2 linked regions of the Stegostoma tigrinum genome follow. Each later gene encodes a partner of the first gene's protein in a complex. Links are inferred from orthologs where the notes say so. Each region holds a gene or a part of one and is shown on either strand. Other genes may lie near its edges.

Region 1 (10,349 bases):
AAGGAAACTGTAAGAGCAGAAATTGAGAAAACATACAATATGTTTAGGGTAAAAGAACTGAAATAGTTAGAAACACAGGATGGTCACACGTCCACTTTTAATACCATTAAAAGTATTAACTCCAGTTTTACATGAGGATTCTCATCGTTACTCAGGATTAAATGAGTTAATGAATTACAAAATCACGAAGCAAAGAATTTCAAGGTTGCATGAAGAATGCCAGTGAACTGAACTGTCTAGTCTCCTACAAAAGAGACAGTTGCCAATCTAGGGAGGGATAATGTACTGGTCAATGTTGTCTGAGTGGCTACAGTTTGCTTTAAATATATTTCTTAGATTGTAGTTGAAGTAGCCAGACTAGAAACAATGATTAAATTAGGATAGATTGCAGTAAGTGGAAAGAATCAATTGTCATATTTCTGAACTCTTATTGTATTATCCTACAACACGTGAACATATTCAATAAAGTTTGTTATGCGTTAATTTGTGTCCTGATTAGCTCCTTTTTCTGAGACAACAAGGTGTAGAGCTGGATGAACACAGCAGGCCAAGCAGCATCAGAGGAGCAGGAAGGCTGACATTTCGGGCCTCGACCCTTCTTCAGAAATGCTTTTCTGAAGAAGGGTCTAGGCCTGAAACGTCAGCCTTCCTGCTCCTCTGATGCTGCTTGGCCTGCTGTGTTCATCCAGCTCTACACCTTGTTATCTCAGATTCTCCAGCATCTGCAGTTCCGACTATCTCTCTAGCTCCTCTTTCTGTCCTGTTTGCTTAACGCATTCCTTCTGTTACAAAAATAACTCACAGCTACAATTTAACTACAATTGTTGGGATGTTGTAGACAAGCATGTCCACCCATAATTGCCCTCAAAGTGGTGGCAGTCTGATTACTGAGGGTGAGGTACAGAGAAGAGTTACGAATATGCTGCCAGAAATGAAGAATTTATTTGAGGAAAGACTGGATGAACACAAGAAGTATTCTTACGTATATAGAAATAATATATAAGCATTACATACTGTGTTAAAGTTGATACATTAAATATGAACATAAAAACAACTCACTGATTGATATCTACAGTTAAATTGCTGGATAGTTTTAACCATATCCTTGCTTTTATGCACTTGTTTTCTTTGGACAGAAGAGGCTGAGAGTTGATTTAATTGAGGTGCATAACATTATTTAGATTTATTTAATATTGTCACACTTACCTACAGTGGAAAGTGTTGTTTTGCAAGTTATCCACAACATGTCACCACTCTGCAGTGCCATCTCGGATCTGTTTGCATTGCATGCTTTTACTGCAATAGCTTTGGTATTTTTAGGTTCAGCTGTTCATCTTCTCATTTGGCTCTCCTTCTTCTTTCTCTTTCTCAGCTGCTCCTACAGTTCCTGCTACTTTAACATTGGCTGGGGTCTTGGTAATGGGCTTCTCCACCATATCTGAGTGCTGCTGAGGTCCTGGTTCTGGGCACATCTTCTGCCACTGCTCATGCGGCATATCCGAGCTGGAATGGGTCATGGGCCTGGTGCTACACAGGGCCCTGCCTCTTGCAGAAGGATGTGACCCCAAGGCAACCAAAGAGGGGAGAACAGTGGAGATTGGGAGATAAAAGGAAAGAGACATAATAAAAAAAGGGCCTACTTCCCTTAGCAGACCTGTCAAGAATCCAGAGCTGTAGCAATTTGTTAGATTGGAGAAGAGTTGAGAAGATATTTACCCAGAAAAGTGTGGATATGGAACTCTCCATCTAAAAGTTCTGTAGTGAGGCATAAATTCACTTTGCATTTAAAATAAAATCTTTTTGGATGCGCACTTGAAGCGCTATACGCTACACAGCTATGCTGACAGGGCTGGTAAGAGAAATTAGGCTGGGTGATCCATCTTGGTTGGCACACAGATGATGGGCCATATGGAATCAGTCTGCTCAGTAAAACTCTTGTTTGTGCCTGTCTTTTTGAAATGTCACAGCCCAAGTCATGAAAGTATTCTAGCTACTGCTGAGTTTTGGCGAGTTGCCTGAAGTGCATATTGTAGATGGTATACACACATTGCAGTGGTGGAGGATGTCGATGCTTAATGAGTGTTAATCAGCAGGCTGCTGGTGCTGATAAGAGAGCTTGTACAGAAGCACCTCTCTCTAGAGAAAATGATACTTCACTCCATTTTTGTCTTGTGCATTGGCAGGTCAGTAGCTGAACCTGCAAATTACCACACCTGATCCAGTCTAGCAGCCACATCACATATCTGCCTGATGCAGCAAAGTTTCTTGTGCAGGGTAATCACAGTTTCTTTCCAGTAAATAATAGTAGTGCCATTTAAACATTATGAGTGGAAGGGGTTGGGGTGGGGTGGAGAATGGGCTAAGACAGTATTGGTTATGATTTAGTGTGATTCTGGGGGAACAAAGCAGGCCAGGCAGCATCAGAGGAGCAGGAAAGCTGACATTTTGGGTCGGGACCCTTCTTCAGAAATGGGGTATTTCAAGAAAGGGGTCCTGATCTGAAATGTCAGTTTTCCTGCACTTCTGAGGCTGCCTGGCCTGCTGTGCTCCTCCAGCTCCACACTGTGTTATCTCCAGCATCAGCAATTCTTACTATCTCTCTTGGTTATGAGCTCAATTGGTAGAATCAGCCTGAAAACTTACAGGACATGAATGTAATTTGTCGCTTATCAGGCCAAACATAGATGGTGTCTTTTTCTGCATTAAGGGAAAGAGTGTGTCTTAGGAATGCATTCATGCATGCACTGTTTCGTTAACAAAGGGACTGCAAATGATGCTTTCCAGGCTGCACGAAGGGACTCCTGCTGAAAAGTCTTGGGCTTGAGATCATGATTAGAAATCACAACTATGTTAGACGGAAAGAAAATAGGAGCAAGGGTAGGCTATTTGACCCGTCAAGTCTGCTGTGCCGTTCCTTATGATCACCCAGTGCCCTGTTCTCGCTCTTTCCTGTCCCCCTACCCTTCGTGTCTCCCTGTGTTCTCCGCAGCCACGTAACTTGTACCACTTCAAGTGTGCACCCAGAAGGATTTTATTTCAAATGCGACGTGAGTTTCTGCCTCACGACAGAACTGGTAGGAAGAAGTAGGTATCAACGCTTTTCGGATGGCTTGTGTAGGCGTTCTTCCTCGGCTTTGCGCAGCCCCAGGGTGTGTTTCTTGCGGCTGGCTTTGAACGGGGTTTTTGATGCGGCCCTGTTTGTGGGCACTTTGGGGACGATTGCTACTGTACTTGAGGGCCCTGTCTGTGCCGGTGACCTTCCTGTGTCCATTGGCCTGGGGTTCGCCGTTGGCCTGACGGTTGACCACTGTGCCTGGGAAGGGGGTTCTGTTATTGTTCTGCTCCTCCTCCTTGGTGAATTATATGCCGGCGAGGATGTTGTTTATGGGTTTTCCTCCAGTTTAGAGCGTTTAATAACGACAAAGGTGTCGTCCACACATGGTTTTGGATGGTCGTCCGCTCCACTCGACGCCTTACGGCTTCCGCTATTCACCCTGATACCGGTGATCCCATGGGTTATTCGGTTGATTTGTCCCTGTACCTTGCCGTGGAGCAAATTACTTCACGACGACAAAATTAATCAAGAGAAATAAATCTAAATGGATGTCATGGAAGAGACTGAGGGAACTCAAGCCGATCACATCAGGAGGGCGGGGCCGACCGAAGGGAGACTGACGGCCGGACGGTCCAACCAGAGTGTTGCGGGCCTATCGGTATTCACCAATCGGACGAAGGCAACGCTCTGATTGACGTCCCATCCAACCAAACGGACGGCCACAGGGGCCTTTTGACCAATTGGCTTGGAGGATAGCGGAGGTGGGAAGGGGGGTGGAACGCCCTCGCGGCTAGCGGTTGGGGACGAGGAGGGCGGGGACATGCGCGAAGTGGGAAGGGCGCGCGAGATCAGAAGGCGGGGAGGAGGACGAGTTCCGTTCAATCAATGACGAGAGCGCTGGCGGCTGCATGTCATGTGATATACGGAAGCGGCGTGACGTTGGATCATAGGAGACGGTGATAGCCGGAACCATGGACCAATAGAGGAGACCTACAGTCCAAAGGACGGGGACGAGAAGTAGGCGGGTTATTTGACAGATGATGGACGGCTGTGTCGATCAATCAGCGGTTAGGATGGTCGATACTGTCCAATCGCCTGTGACGGACAGATTTGGGGGTTGTACCCAGGTCATGTGGGACTGTACGTGGTGTGGGTGGGACGCCGGCTCAGTGATGATAGATGGCTATGCTGACCAATCGAAATGAACGGCGTAGCGAAGCCGTCCAATCACCCAGGTCGCGGTGGGTCGTATATGATAATTTGGTTGACTGACAGAGGAACAGACCAATCAGAAACCGTCGACTCCCGGCATAAGCGAACGAGGAACGGTGGGGGTGTGGGAATCTGAGTGTCATGTGACGCGGGCTTTAACCGACGGGCGGAGGCTGAAGACGTGCCCGGGCTCTGTCTCGATGGTGAGTACGAGCTTGTTGGGTAGCGGGGTGGTTTAAAAAAAAACACACACAACATCCACCCGATTCGTGGTGTACACTTTCTCCCGGGGGTGGCTGGAAGCCGTTAACCGCCTGTCACCTGTCATTCCCCGGGTGACTGGGCCCGGGAGGTCACAGGTCACGGCCATTGGCCATTTCCCCCTGTTTTAAAACTAGGACGGGCCCTGGTCTAAAAATAACCCAAACCGCTTGAATTCAAACATTGCAATTTGTCATTTGCACCGCATGGAATCGTTTGCATTGCATTGAACGCGCTGATGATATTCAGCATTTGCTTGCACGCTTTGGGTGGGCGATAGTCAACTGTTTACAAACGAGGGAGGGAGGCAGCTGAAGAGGCGAGATACTTCCATTCTTGAGATGGCGTCTGCCCTGGAGATTCCTGTGGACAAGTTGGGGCGCTATTTCTGGCACCAAACAGTCCATGAATCCAGGCTTGAGGGGCCGAGGGGCCGAATGGCCTGCCCCACCCCCCTCCCTTGTTTCCTATAATCCTAAAATCTTAGGGTATGCCACCACCCTCCTTTCTCACCTTCCCACCCACTTTCTTTTTGTCTGCAGTGTTCAGTGTGTGGCCTTCTGTTGTTGACTTATACATTCAGCAGGTGCCAATCTCTGAAAGTTCCTGCCTCAGAGTAGGTGTGAGGTTGGATTGGGGTGGGATTAGTGTACAGGTAAGAGTGCGGAGATAGTAGGAATTGCTGATGCTGGAGAATTTGAGATAACACGGTGTGGAGCTGGATGGACACTGCAGGCCAAGCTGACGTTTCGGGTCGGGGCCCTTCTTCAACGATTCCATGCGGTGCAAATGACATGGAGAGTGTGGAGAAAGATCAACTCAAATATTGGAGAGGTCTTAAGTCTGATAACAGTGGGGAAGAAGCTGTTCTTTTAAATCTGTTCGTACAAAATTTGTTCTATCTTCTGCCTGATGGAAGAGAGTATAACCAGAGTGGGAGGGGTCATTATGTGGGTTGCTCTCCCGAGGAATTGGAATGTGTGGATGGAGTCAATGGATGGAAGGCTGCCTTGTGTGATGGACTGGACTGTGTTCACAACTCTGTCATTTTTCTTTTGCGGTCTTGGGCAGAGCTGTGATGCATCCAGATAGAATGTTTTCTCTTTTGCATGGGCTGTGGGGTGGGGAGACCTAAGTTTGGTCAGTGATGAGTTAGGTTTAAGTTTTTAATAGCTGTTAGCAGGAATTGGAACAGATTTTTAATCCTCCTAGTTCTTAAAATCAAATCCTGGGTAACTTTTTTAACCTTGAGTAAATCTCAACCTTCTGACTTCTTCAGTGAGCTCTTTCAAAGGGTTCCAAATTGGGAAAATCTGGTTTTCTAGGCAATTCCCACAGAGCCAGGTGCATCTGGGATTTTTGCACAGTCCTAACCTGCAGCTCCAGTCTATGTTGCTGTAGCAAGCATTTGGACATGGGACTACCTGTGTCAGAGAGAACAATAGCAGGTGTAGATTTCCAGGGGTTGGGAGAAAGATGTGACAGCAGTTGATGAGGAATTTTTTTTGTTTAACCTACTATGTGGTGAGAATCTGTAAACTGCTGTCTGTTAGGCTGGTCTAGGCAGAAAGCCTCATCACGTTTCTAAGAGATACTAGAATGTACACCTGAAGCAGCACAACCTGCAAGACTACAGACTGAAAGACTGTGAGATTGGCGATGACTTCTAAATGTTCCCTCAACTCTTTGACCACTCTTTTGGTCATTCGGTTAACATCCCCTCTGTTAGCTTGGTGAAAGACAGCGCTTTATAAAGCGTTATGAAGCACCATGAGATGTTTTATCGAACTCTGAAACAGTTACAACATAGAAAGAGGCCTTTCAGCCCATTGCATCTGTGCTGGGTCTTGCCCAGACACCTCCCCTCCCTTGTCTTTTTCCCCGTGAACCTGCATTATTTGCCCTGTCCTCTTTGAAAGCCGCGACGCTGCCAGGTACCACGTTCCCAATCCCAACAACTTGCTGCGTTTTTACGAAAGAAAGTTTCCTTTCCTTTCCTTTCCTACATCGCTCGTCCTTTTCCCAGTCTCTCTCGGTCTCCATCTGACAGAGAATGTGAGGAAATATAGGAGCAGGAGCAGGAGAATGGGCTGAATGGCATCAAGCACTGCTATTCACCTCAATCTTGGCTGAATCTCCACCTCAACCGATTTCCCGACACTATCCCAGTAAATAAAGTTATAAGAAACAGGAGCAGGACTGGGCCGTCAGGCCCCTCAAACCTGCCCTGCCATTCGATTAAAATCATGGCTGATCTTTTCGTGGACTTACTTGCCCGCTCACCATAACGCTTAATTCCTTTACTGTTTAAAACTCTTAATTTTTGCCTTAAAAACATTCAACCATGTACCCTCAACTACTTCTCTGGGCAGGGAATTCCACAGATTCACAACCCTTTGGGTGAAGAAGTTGCTCCTGACCTCAGTCCTAAATCTGCTTCCCCCATTATTTTGAGACCATGCCCCACACGTTCTAGTTTCACCTGCCCAGTGGAAACAACCTCCCCACTTCTATGTCATCTATTCCCTTCATAACTTTATACGTTTCTGTCAGATCCCCCTCGTTCTTTTAAATTCCAATAAGTACAGTCCCAGTCTAATCAATCTCTTCTCATAAGACACAGGAGTGGAAGTAAGACCATTCGGCCCGTCAAGTCCACTCCACCATTTAAATCATGGCTGATGGGCATTTCAACTCCACTTCCCTGCACTCTCCCCGTAGCCCTTGATTCCTTCTGAGATCAAGAATTTGTCGATCTCTGCCTTGAAGGCATCCAATGTCCCGGCCTCCACTGCACTCCGTGGCAATGAATTCCACAAGCCCACCACACTCTGGCTGAAGAAATGTCGTCTCATTTCAGTTTTAAATTTACCCCCTCTAATTTTAAGGCTGTGCCCATGGGTCCTAGTCTCCCCGCCTAACGGAAACAACTTCCTAGCGTCCACCCCTTCTAAACCATACATTATCTTGTAAGTTCTATTAGATCTCCCCTCAACCTTCCAAACTCTAATGAGTACAATCCCAGGATCCTTAGCCGTTCATCATATGTTAAACCTACCATTCCAGGGATCATCCGTGTGAATCTCTGTTGGACACGCACCAGGGCTAGTATGTCCTTCCTGAGGTGTGGGGCCCAAAATTGGACACAGTATTCTAAATGGGGCCTAACTAGAGCCTTACAAAGCCTGAGAAGCACATCGCTGCTTTTATATTCCAACCCTCTTGAGATAAACGACAACATTATAGTCGCTTTCTTAATCACGGACTCTACCTGCAAGTTAACCTTTAGAGAATCCTGGACCAACACTCCCAGATCCCTTTGTACTTGTGCTTTGTGAATTTTCTCACCGTTTAGAAAATAGTCCATGCCTGTATTCTTTTTTCCAAAGTGCAAAACCTCGCATTTACTCACATTGAATTTCATCAGCCATTTCCTGGACCACTGTCCTAAACTGTCTAAATCTTTCTGCAGCCTCCCCACCTCCTCAGTACTACCTGCCTGTCCACCTATCTTCGTATCATCAGCAAACTTCGCCAGAATGCCCCCAGTCCCTTCATCCAGATCATTAATGTATAAGGTGAACAGCTGCGGCCCCAACACTGAACCCTGCGGGACAACACTCGTCACCGGTTGCCATTCCATTCAAGAGCCTTTTATCCCCAACACTCTGCCTTCTGTCAGACAGCCAATCCTCAATCCAAGCCGGTAGCTCACCTTGAACACCACGGGCCCTCACCTTGCTCAGCAGCCTCCCGTGAGGCACTGTATCAAAGGCCTTTTGGAAGTCTAGATAGATAACGTGGGTTTCCCTGGTCTAACATACTTGTTACCTCTTCAAAGAATTCTAACAGGTTTGTCAGGCACGACCTCCCCTTACTAAATCCATGCTGACTTGTTCTAATCTGACACTGCACTTCCAGGAATTTAGAAATCTCATCCTTAGCAGTGGATTCTAGAATTTTACCAACTACCGAGGTTAGGCTAATCGGCCTATAATTTTCCATCTTTTGCCTTGATCCTTTCTTAAACAAGGGGGTTACAACAGCAATTTTCCAATCATCTGGGACTTTCCCTGACTCCAGTGACTTTTGAAAGATCACATCCAAAGCCTCTGCTATTTCCTCAGCCACCTCCCTCAGAACTCTAGGATGTAGCCCATCGGGGCCAGGAGATTTATCAATTTTTAGACCTTTTAGCTTTTCTAGCATTTTCTCTTTTGTAATGCCTACTGTACCCAACTCTGCCCCCTGGCTCTCCCTAATTGTTGGCATACTACTCATGTCTTCCACTGTGAATTCTGACGCAAAGTACTTAAGTTCTTCAGCTATTTCCTTATCTCCCATCACTAGCCTTCCAGCATCAATTTGGAGCGGCCCAATGTCTACTTTTGCCTCTTGTTTGTTTCTTATGTATTGAAAGAAGCTTTGACTATCATTTCTAATATTACTAGCTAGCCTACCTTCATATTTGATCCTCTCCTTCCTTATTGCTCTCCTTGTTATCCTCTGTCTGTTTTTGCAGCCTTCCCAATCTTCTGATTTCCTAGTGCTCTTGGCCACTTTATAGGCTGTCTCTTTTTCTTTGATATATTTCCTGACTTCCTTTGTCAGCCATGGCTGTCTAATCCCACTGCGGATAATCTTTCTTTTTCTTTGGGATGAACCTCTGTATTGTGTCCTCAATTACACCCAGAAATTCCTGCCATTGTTGCTCTACTGTCTTCCCTGCTCGGCTCTGCCTCCAGTCGATTTTCGTCAATCCCCTGTAGTTACCTTTATTTAGCTGTAATACCATTACATCCGATTTTGCCTCCTCTCTTTCAAACTGCAGACTGAACTCTACCATATTATGACCACTGCCTCCTAAGTGTTACTTTAAGGTCTTTTATAAAGCCAACCCCCTCAACTCTGGAATCGACCCAGTGAACCTCCTCTGCATCCCCTCCAGTGCCAGGAATGTCCTTTCTCAAGTAAGGAGACCAAAATGTTACCCCTTTAAACTTCTTGATGTTCAAGAAAGATATCATTGAACATACTCACTGGTTGAGCCTGCACAGTATTCTTGAGTGGACAGTTCCTAGGACACTCTACCCTCCGACTGGTTGGAAGAGATTGGATTTTGTGATAATAAAGTTTCTTTAAGTTATGGTGCCAGGCTGTCGAGCGGTTAGAATGCCGACTGGGTGAGTGAGGGCTTCTGCGTTTGAATAGGATGCTGTTTTGTCTGCACTTCAGTTCCACACAGCTCGTTTGTTGGGAAAGGTGGGGGTGGAATCAGGGTCAGTGTGAGTGATATATATAGAGAAAGTAACCTGGCCAATTGGCAGACCTCCTCATGGATCAGCGCTCAGTGCTGGCTGTAAACAGGCCCCTTGCCACTAGGAAGTTGAGAGGAATCTTTGGCCTGACTGCTGGTCAGCTGCATCTTTCACCCTTGTGACTGTGCCTGGGAGACCTTGGGAGGGAACATGCGGTGTCCAGGGGCATGTGTGAGGTGTTCTGTGGACACTGCAGGGGCTGTTGTGTGTTATCAAAATGATGCTTCTTAATCTGAATTTAGTTGGTTTAAAGTTTGAATCCTTCAGGGACTTTACAGCCTTTTTTTTTGCATGTTTTAATTTGAGTTTTTTTTTTATTAAAATGATTTTGAAAGAGCTGGAACAAAAACCCCTTCCATCTAGAAGGACAAGGGCAGCAGGTACATGGGACCGCCGCCCCTCGCAAGTTCCACACACCACACTCCACCCCCCCACTCCCCCCAAATTCTGGAAATACATCGGCCGTTCTTCCTGTGTCACTGAGTCAAAATCCAGGAATGGTT
Region 2 (8,268 bases), on another chromosome or scaffold:
GGGCTGTTGAGGCTGGGTCATTTTTTGCTAAATTCACTCATGGGACGCGGGTGTAGCCGGGCGGGTGCCTTTCGGGAGGGAATTCCAGGCTTCTGATCCAGGGAAGGAATGGTGCATACTTCCAAGTCAGGACGGTGTGGGGGGGGGCGGGGGGGTGTCTTGGAGGGGAACTCGCAGGGGGCTGGGGTTCCCCTGTACCTGCTGCCCGTTGCCCCCATCCCCAGGGGGTAGGGGTCCCGGGTTTGGAAGGTGCTGACTGGGGGGAGTCGCTGTGAATGGTACACACTGCTGCGACTGAGCATCGGCTGGGGCGGGGGGGGAGTGGGGGCTTGTGGACACGGTGCCAATCCAGGGAGGGCGAGGGGGGCTGCTTTGCCCCCAGATGGGGTCAAGCTTCTCCAGTGTTTGTCAGAGCTGCCCCCACCCAGGGCAAGTGGCGGGGGGGGGGGGGGTGCATTCCCTCACACTCCTGCCTTGTTAATGGTGGGACAGGGGAGTTGGGACGGGAGTCACTGGCTGCAGGATTCCCAGCCTCTGACCTGCTTTGGTAGCCCCCGGTATCGATATGGGGCAATGGTATCGATATCTGAGCAATGGTAACCCCCAGTGTGGTGATACTGAGGCAGGGAGTGGGAAAAGAGACTAGAGTGATGTTAACACCACTGAATGCCGGAGGGGGGGGCACAATGGTTAGATTCTCCCTCAGTGGTGACCCCTGGATGTTGACAGTAGGGTATTCAGCGATGGTGGTTACAATGACTGACTTATATTGGAGGCTGGGAAAGAGAGATTTTCAAACCAGGGAGGGAACCGGGGCGGGGGGGTGGGGGGTATGGAGGAAAGGGCAGGAAATTGGGAGATGGGGATGACCAAGATCAGCCATCGAAGGGTGGATGGACTCGATGGGCTGAGCGGCGCACAACTGCTCCTACATCACATCGTCTCATCGCTACAAAGCTGCTAGTGAACGCAACATGGACCGAGGACCACACAGAGGAGCCCTCACAAGCAAACGCTAACAACCCCCACCCAGCTCCATCGCTCCCGACGCCCCGGCCCACCGCACTGCCCCCTCCGCCCACCCGCCGACGCTCCCCCCCCCACCAACCCCCCGGCCCACCTCACCCCCAGCCACCTCCGCCCAAACACCCTTCCAGCCCCGCAACCCACCCACCATCTGCACAACCCCGTCACCTACCCACCCCCAGCCCGCTCACCTTCGCCTGCAGCATCCCGAATCCCACGGTCTCCTTTGCGTACATGCACAGCAGCAGGTTGGCCACACGGGTGATCGCCACCCTGCCTTCCTGAAACGGAAAGAGAGAGACACACGGGGGGTCAGAGAGGGCAAGACACGCACGCACACAGGGGTGGGGTACGCAGGGCTGCCCACACCCTCGAACAAGGGGGATTTAGCATGGACGTACAGAGGGTGAACAGGCTCAAAGTGGGCAATGCCCAAAAGCACGCATGGAACCCCCCTCCCTGAGAAAGGAGGTGGTCGGTTTTGCACCCCCCGCCGCCCCAATCCTCGCGGCTCTCACTTGACCCAGTCTGTTGCAAGCCAGCCCCTTGCCGGACGGGATATTCAGCTACGGACGGATTCGTGGCGCAGGACCAGATCCCCCACAAGCGATGCCACTCTTCTTGTGGGGGGGGGGGGGGGGGGGGGGAAGAGTGACCATGTCAGTGCTGAAAGGGAACAGTGAGCCTCCCCTCACCACCCGCCCCCAGCAGCCCCACACCATGCAGTCCATGAGGATGAATCGTAGCTTGTCCTCGTTGAAGGCCTGGTGCCCGTTCTTGGCGTAGGCAGCCCAGATGTTGCTGGCGATCGCTGCAGTCACCCGGGCATCTGTGTCTCCGTACCCCGAATACGCGAGGAGGGAGCCCTCGTTGTTCAACAACCTGTGGGGGGGGGGGGGGGGGTCATGGTTACTGTTAGCCGGTACATACCCCTCCCCAAATGTCACCCCTGCACAGACATCCAACCAGCACCCCCCCCCCCCCCCCCGGAATCCCACCCCGCTCCCCTCTTCACCACCCCCCCCATCCGTCTGTATACCAACACCCGCTCACAGGCTCCAATCTCCTCCCTAAACACCACCTCCCCACCCACAGAGGGTTTCACCCCCACCATAACACCACCCACTCCTCCGCTCCTGCCCCCAACTCACAGAAGCCTTCTTCCAAATGCCTCCCCCCCCACCACGGGGTCTCCAGCCCCCGCCACCCCCCACTCACTGCCCCCACGGGGTCTCCAGCCCCCGCCACCCCCCACTCACTGCCCCCACGGGGTCTCCAGCCCCCGTCACCCCCCACTCACTGCCCCCACGGGGTCTCCAGCCCCCGCCACCCCCCACTCACTGCCCCCCACGGGGTCTCCAGCCCCCGCCCCCACTCCCCCCACTCACTGCCCCCACGGGGTCTCCAGCCCCCGCCACCCCCCACTCACTGCCCCCACGGGGTCTCCAGCCCCCGCCCCCACTCCCACCACACACTGCCCCCACGGGGTCTCCAGCCCCCGCCCCCACTCCCCCCACTCACTGCCCCCACGGGGTCTCCAGCCCCCGCCCCCACTCCCACCACACACTGCCCCCACGGGGTCTCCAGCCCCCGCCCCCACTCCCACCACACACTGCCCCCACGGGGTCTCCAGCCCCCGCCCCCACTCCCACCACACACTGCCCCCACGGGGTCTCCAGCCCCCGCCCCCACTCCCCCCACTCACTGCCCCCACGGGGTCTCCAGCCCCCACCACCCCCCACTCACTGCCCCCACGGGGTCTCCAGCCCCCGTCACCCCCCCACTCACTGCCCCCACGGGGTCTCCAGCCCCCCGTCACCCCCCACTCACTGCCCCCACGGGGTCTCCAGCCCCCGCCCCCACTCCCACCACACACTGCCCCCACGGGGTCTCCAGCCCCCACCCTCCATAACACACTGGGGCCACGCCTCCCAAGGTCTCTCCCTGACTCCCCCAGGCCCTCCCTCCGCCCTCGCCGCAGCCCCCTCACTCACAGGGTGCTCTGGACCCCCGCGGTGTTGGCCTGGCTCAGGACCTGGGTCAGGGCTTTGGGCCTCAACATCTTCGGGAGTCGCCGGAAGTCCACAGTGACCGGAAACAGCCGTGCACTCTGGGATCTGTAGTTCCAAATCCCGCCGCCTACAGCCCGTGATCTCACTCTCACGTGGTCCTGCCCCCCCAACCCCTTCCGCCGGAACATGCATCTCTGCGCATATTTTAACCACGACCGCCTCCTTTGGGAGTTTTAATCGGTGAGCGTTATTTTCCGGAATATAAGGCAATCATCTGCGGCGAAGGTTAAAAAAAAATTCTCCCGCCGCCATCTTGGTAAGGAGAACGCGGGCGCTATGCCGTCGCCATATTTGTAAGGGAGATCTCGTCGAAGCTGCCCAAGGAGACGCCTTGTCGCCGCCATATTGGCAATGGGGTACCCATCCAGACGTTCCCATTGCTTCGGAAATAGCTGAAGCCACCCTGTTCACCATATTTGTAAAGGGGAAACAATCGGCTAAGACGGAAGTGCGGCTTTGTCACCATCTTGGTAAAGGAGAATTGTCTAATCAGGTTTTATTGTGCTGTAATGGTAGTTTTCCTACCCCTGGACAGGGAGGCCCGGGCTCAGGTCCCACCTGCTCGGAAAAAACAATACATTAACCATCAGCCTTTAAACAGACAACAAAACAGAACGGACACCACGGTGCTAACATTTACAGCTGCAACAGATGACAGAAGCTTGGCAATGTCCCCTGAATTTCTGTAGCGCCATGCATAACCTGCAGAATTGTTAAAGCACAAGAGGATGCCATTAAGCCCATTCCATTTCTGAATGAGTGCTCCCCCTGCGAGCTTCTACTTATTGCCATGTATGTTCTTCCATTTCAGATGGTGATCCTACTCCCACTTTCTGATTACCAATAGTCTTCGATTCCGTGCCCACTAGTCCAATCTCTCTGCGAATGGGAACAATTTCTCCCTCTCCGTTCCATTCCTGACCCCTAATGGTTTCCAAAGTTTTGGTAAAATCTCCTCCCTGACTTCTCTTCTGCAAGAAAACAGTCCTAGCATCTCTGATCTATTCACAACACTGAAATCCATCATCCCTGGAACCAATCCTGCAAATCCTTGCCTGTATGCTCTGGTGCCTTCTTAAAATGTGATGCCCACAACTGGACATTATTTCAGCTAAAGCTAACTTAGCATTCCACGCAATTTTAACATGATTTGCTTTGGAACCAAATTAAGAGGAAATGACAGGAATAGGCCATTCAACTGCTCAAGCCTGCTCTGCTATTCAATGGGATCAAGGTTAATCTAACATTCCTCACATCCACATTGCTGTATTTTCCCTGTAAGTTTTGATTTCCTGACTGATCAAGAAATCCAATCTATCTGAGCCTTAAATATACAGGAGGAGTCTGGCCCCTCTCTGCAGCAAAGAGTTCCAAAGACTCTCAAACACCTCCTCTCAGAAAAGAAATTCCTCCTCACTTCAGTCTTAAACTTATTCTAAGACTATGACCTAAGGTCCTAGACTCTCCCATGAGGAGAGTCCCCGGTGAGCCCCTTCGGAGTCCTATATGTTTCAATGAGATTATTTCTCATTCTTCTAAACTCCACTTAGTAGAGTCCCAACCTGTTTAATCCTTGCTCAAAAGACAATCCCTCCATACCTTGGATCACCTCAAACTTCTCTAAACTTCTTCCAATGAAACTATCTTTATCTAAATAAGGGGACTTAAACTGCTAACAGCACTCCAGATGTGATTTCCCCAGTGCCTAGCATAGTTGCAAATAAGACTTCTCTACTATGATACTCCAACCCTCTTGAAATAAGGGCCAACATCTCACTAGCCCTTCCTGACTACATGTGGTTAGCTTGCTATGTTTCCTGCAGTTTGTTGCAGCTTTCTGCAGCTTCTCTCCGGTTGAGTAATATTGTGTTCTTTTGTTCTCTCTTCCAAAATGAACAACTTCATATTTTCACTTGGTATAATCTATTTGCCAAATTTTTATCAATATTTCTCTGTAAACTGTAAAGAGTCACAGAGTTGTACAGCACAGAAAGAGACCCTTCAGTCCAACTTATCCACGCCAACATAATCCAGCCCCAGATTATAAAATGTGAGGCTGGATGAACACAGCAAGCCAAGCAGCATCTCAGGAGCACAAAAGCTGACGTTTCGGGCCTAGACCCTTTATCAGAGAGGGGGATGGGGTGAGGGTTCTGGAATAAATAGGGAGAGAGGGGGAGGCGGACCGAAGATGGAGAGTAAAGAAGATAGGTGGAGAGGAGAGTATAGGTGGGGAGGTAGGGAGGGGATAGGTCAGTCCAGGGAAGACGGACAGGTCAAGGAGGTGGGATGAGGTTAGTAGGTAGATGGGGGTGCGGCTAGGGGTGGGAGGAAGGGATGGGTGAGAGGAAGAACAGGTTAGGGAGGCAGAGACAGGTTGGACTGGTTTTGGGATGCAGTGGGTGGAGGGTAAGAGCTGGGCTGGTTGTGTAGTGCAGTGGGGGGAGGGGATGAACTGGGCTGGTTTAGGGATGCGGTGGGGGAAGGGGAAATTTTGAAGCTGGTGAAGTCGAGACATTAACCGCCTCTACCTCTCCACCCCCTCACCCACTCCAACCTCTCCCCTGCAGAACGGACAGCCCTCCGCTCCCTCCGCTCCAAACCCAACCTCACCATCAAACCCGCAGACAAGGGTAGCGCAGTGGTAGTATGGCGCACTGACCTCTACATCGCCGAGGCCACACGCCAACTCTCCGACACCACCTCCTACCGCCCCCTCGATCATGACCCCACACCCGAGCACCAAACCATCATCTCCAACACCATTCATGACCTCATCACCTCAGGGGACCTCCCACCCACAGCCTCCAACCTCATCGTTCCCCAACCCCGCACGGCCCGTTTCTATCTCCTTCCCAAAATCCACAAACCTGCCTGCCCTGGTCGACCCATCGTCTCCGCCTGCTCCTGCCCCACCGAACTCATCTCCACCTATCTGGACTCCATTTTCTCCCATTGGTCCAGGAACTCCCTACCTATGTCCGTGACACCACCCACGCCCTCCACCTCCTCCAGGACTTCCAATTCCCTGGCCCCCAACACCTCATTTTCACCATGGACGTCCAGTCCCTATACACCTGCATTCCGCATGCAGATGGCCTCAAGGCCCTCCGCTTCTTCCTGTCTCGCAGGCCCAACCAGTCCCCCTCCACAGACACCCTCATCTGCCTAGCTAAACTCGTCCTCACCCTCAACAACTTCTCTTTCGACTCCTCCCACTTCCTACAGACAAAGGGGGTGGCCATGGGCACCCGCATGGGCCCCAGCTATGCCTGCCTCTTTGTAGGTTACGTGGAACAGTCCCTCTTCCGCACCTACACAGGCCCCAAACCCCACCTCTTCCTCCGGTACATTGATGACTGTATCGGCGCCGCCTCTTGCTCCCCAGAGGAGCTCGATCAGTTCATCCACTTCACCAACACCTTCCACCCCAACCTCAAGTTCACCTGGGCCATCTCCAGCACATCCCTCACCTTCCTGGATCTCTCAGTCTCCATCTCAGGCAACCAGCTTGTAACTGATGTCCATTTCAAGCCACCGACTCCCACAGCTAACTAGAATACACCTCCTCCCACCCACCCTCCTGCAAAAATTCCATTCCCTATTCCCAATTCCTCCGCCTCCGCCGCATCTGCTCCCACGATGAAGCATTCCACTCCCGCACATCCCAGATGTCCAAGTTCTTCAAGGACCACAACTTTCCCCCCACAGTGATCGAGAACGCCCTTGACCACGTCTCCCATATTTCCCGCAACACATCTCTCACACCCCGCCCCCGCCACAACCGCCCAAAGAGGATCCCCCTCGTTCTCACACACCACCCCACCAACCTCCGGATACAACGCATCATCCTCCAACACTTCCGCCATTTACAATCCGACCCCACCACCCAAGACAATTTTCCATCCCCACACCTGTCTGCTTTCCGGAGAGACCACTCTCTCCGTGACTCCCTTGTTCGCTCCACACTGCCCTCCAACCCCACCACACCCGGCACCGTCCCCTGCAACTGCAGGAAATGCTACACTTGCCCCCACACCTCCTCCCTCACCCCCATCCCAGGCCCCAAGATGACTTTCCACATTAAGCAGAGGTTCACCAGCACATCTGCCAATGTGGTATACTGTATCCACTGTACCTGGTGTGGCTTCCTTTACATTGGGGAAACCAAGCGGAGGCTTGGGGACCGCTTTGCAGAACACCTCCGCTCAGTTCGCAACAAACAACTGCACCTCCCAGTCGCAAACCATTTCCACTCCCCCTCCCATTCTCTTGATGACATGTCCATCATGGGCCTCCTGCAGTGCCACAATGATGCCACCCGAAGGTTGCAGGAACAGCAACTCATATTCCGCTTGGGAACCCTGCAGCCCAATGGTATCAATGTGGACTTCACCAGCTTCAAAATCTCCCCTTCCCCCACCGCATCCCAAAACCAGCCCAGTTCATCCCCTCCCCCCACTGCATCACACAACCAGCCCAGCTCTTTCCCTCCACCCACTGCATCCCAAAACCAGCCCAGCCTGTCTCTGCCTCCCTAACCTGTTCTTCCTCTCACCCATCCCTTCCTCCCACCCCAAGCCGCACCTCCATCTCCTACCTACTAACCTCATCCTGCCTCCTTGACCTGTCCGTCTTCCCTGGACTGACCTATCCCCTCCCTACCTCCCCACCTATACTCTCTCCACCTATCTTCTTTCTCTCCATCTTCGGTCCGCCTCCCCCTCTCTCCCTATTTATTCCAGTTCCCTCTCCCCATCCCCCTCTCTGATGAAGGGTCTAGGCCCGAAATGTCAGCTTTTGTGCTCCTGAGATGCTGCTTGGCCTGCTGTGTTCATCCAGCCTCACATTTTATTATCTTGGATTCTCCAGCATCTGCAGTTCCCATTATCACTCATAATCTAGCCCCATTTGCCTGCATTTGGCCCATAGTCCTCTAACCCATTCCTACTCATGTCCCCATCCATATGCCGTTTAAATGCTGGAACTGTACCAGCCCCCACCCACTTCCTCCTTCCATGCACGCACCACCCTCTGTGTGAATAAGTTACCCCTCGGGTCCCTTTCCCCTCTCACCTTAACCCTATGCCCCTCTAGCTTTGGACTCCCCCCTGCCCTTGGGGGAAAAGACCTTGTCTATCCCCCCTACCCATGCCCCTCATGGGTTTAT

Evidence for each region.
Region 2: lamtor4 (region 1) and lamtor2 share a complex: the UniProt entries of both Homo sapiens proteins name them as parts of the ragulator complex. The link is inferred for Stegostoma tigrinum from reciprocal best matches to the Homo sapiens genes LAMTOR4 and LAMTOR2.

Annotation. Positions count from the first base shown.
Region 1 is NC_081398.1:4,436,859-4,447,207, reverse strand, and holds the start of lamtor4 (ragulator complex protein LAMTOR4), read left to right. Parts: upstream 1-4,341; 5' UTR 4,342-4,467; coding exon 4,468-4,470; intron 4,471-10,349. UniProt on the Homo sapiens protein: As part of the Ragulator complex it is involved in amino acid sensing and activation of mTORC1, a signaling complex promoting cell growth in response to growth factors, energy levels, and amino acids.
Region 2 is NC_081400.1:6,456,143-6,464,410, forward strand, and holds lamtor2 (ragulator complex protein LAMTOR2), read right to left. Parts: upstream 3,144-8,268; 5' UTR 3,089-3,143; coding exon 3,021-3,088; intron 1,909-3,020; coding exon 1,746-1,908; intron 1,308-1,745; coding exon 1,218-1,307; intron 618-1,217; coding exon 510-617; downstream 1-509. UniProt on the Homo sapiens protein: As part of the Ragulator complex it is involved in amino acid sensing and activation of mTORC1, a signaling complex promoting cell growth in response to growth factors, energy levels, and amino acids.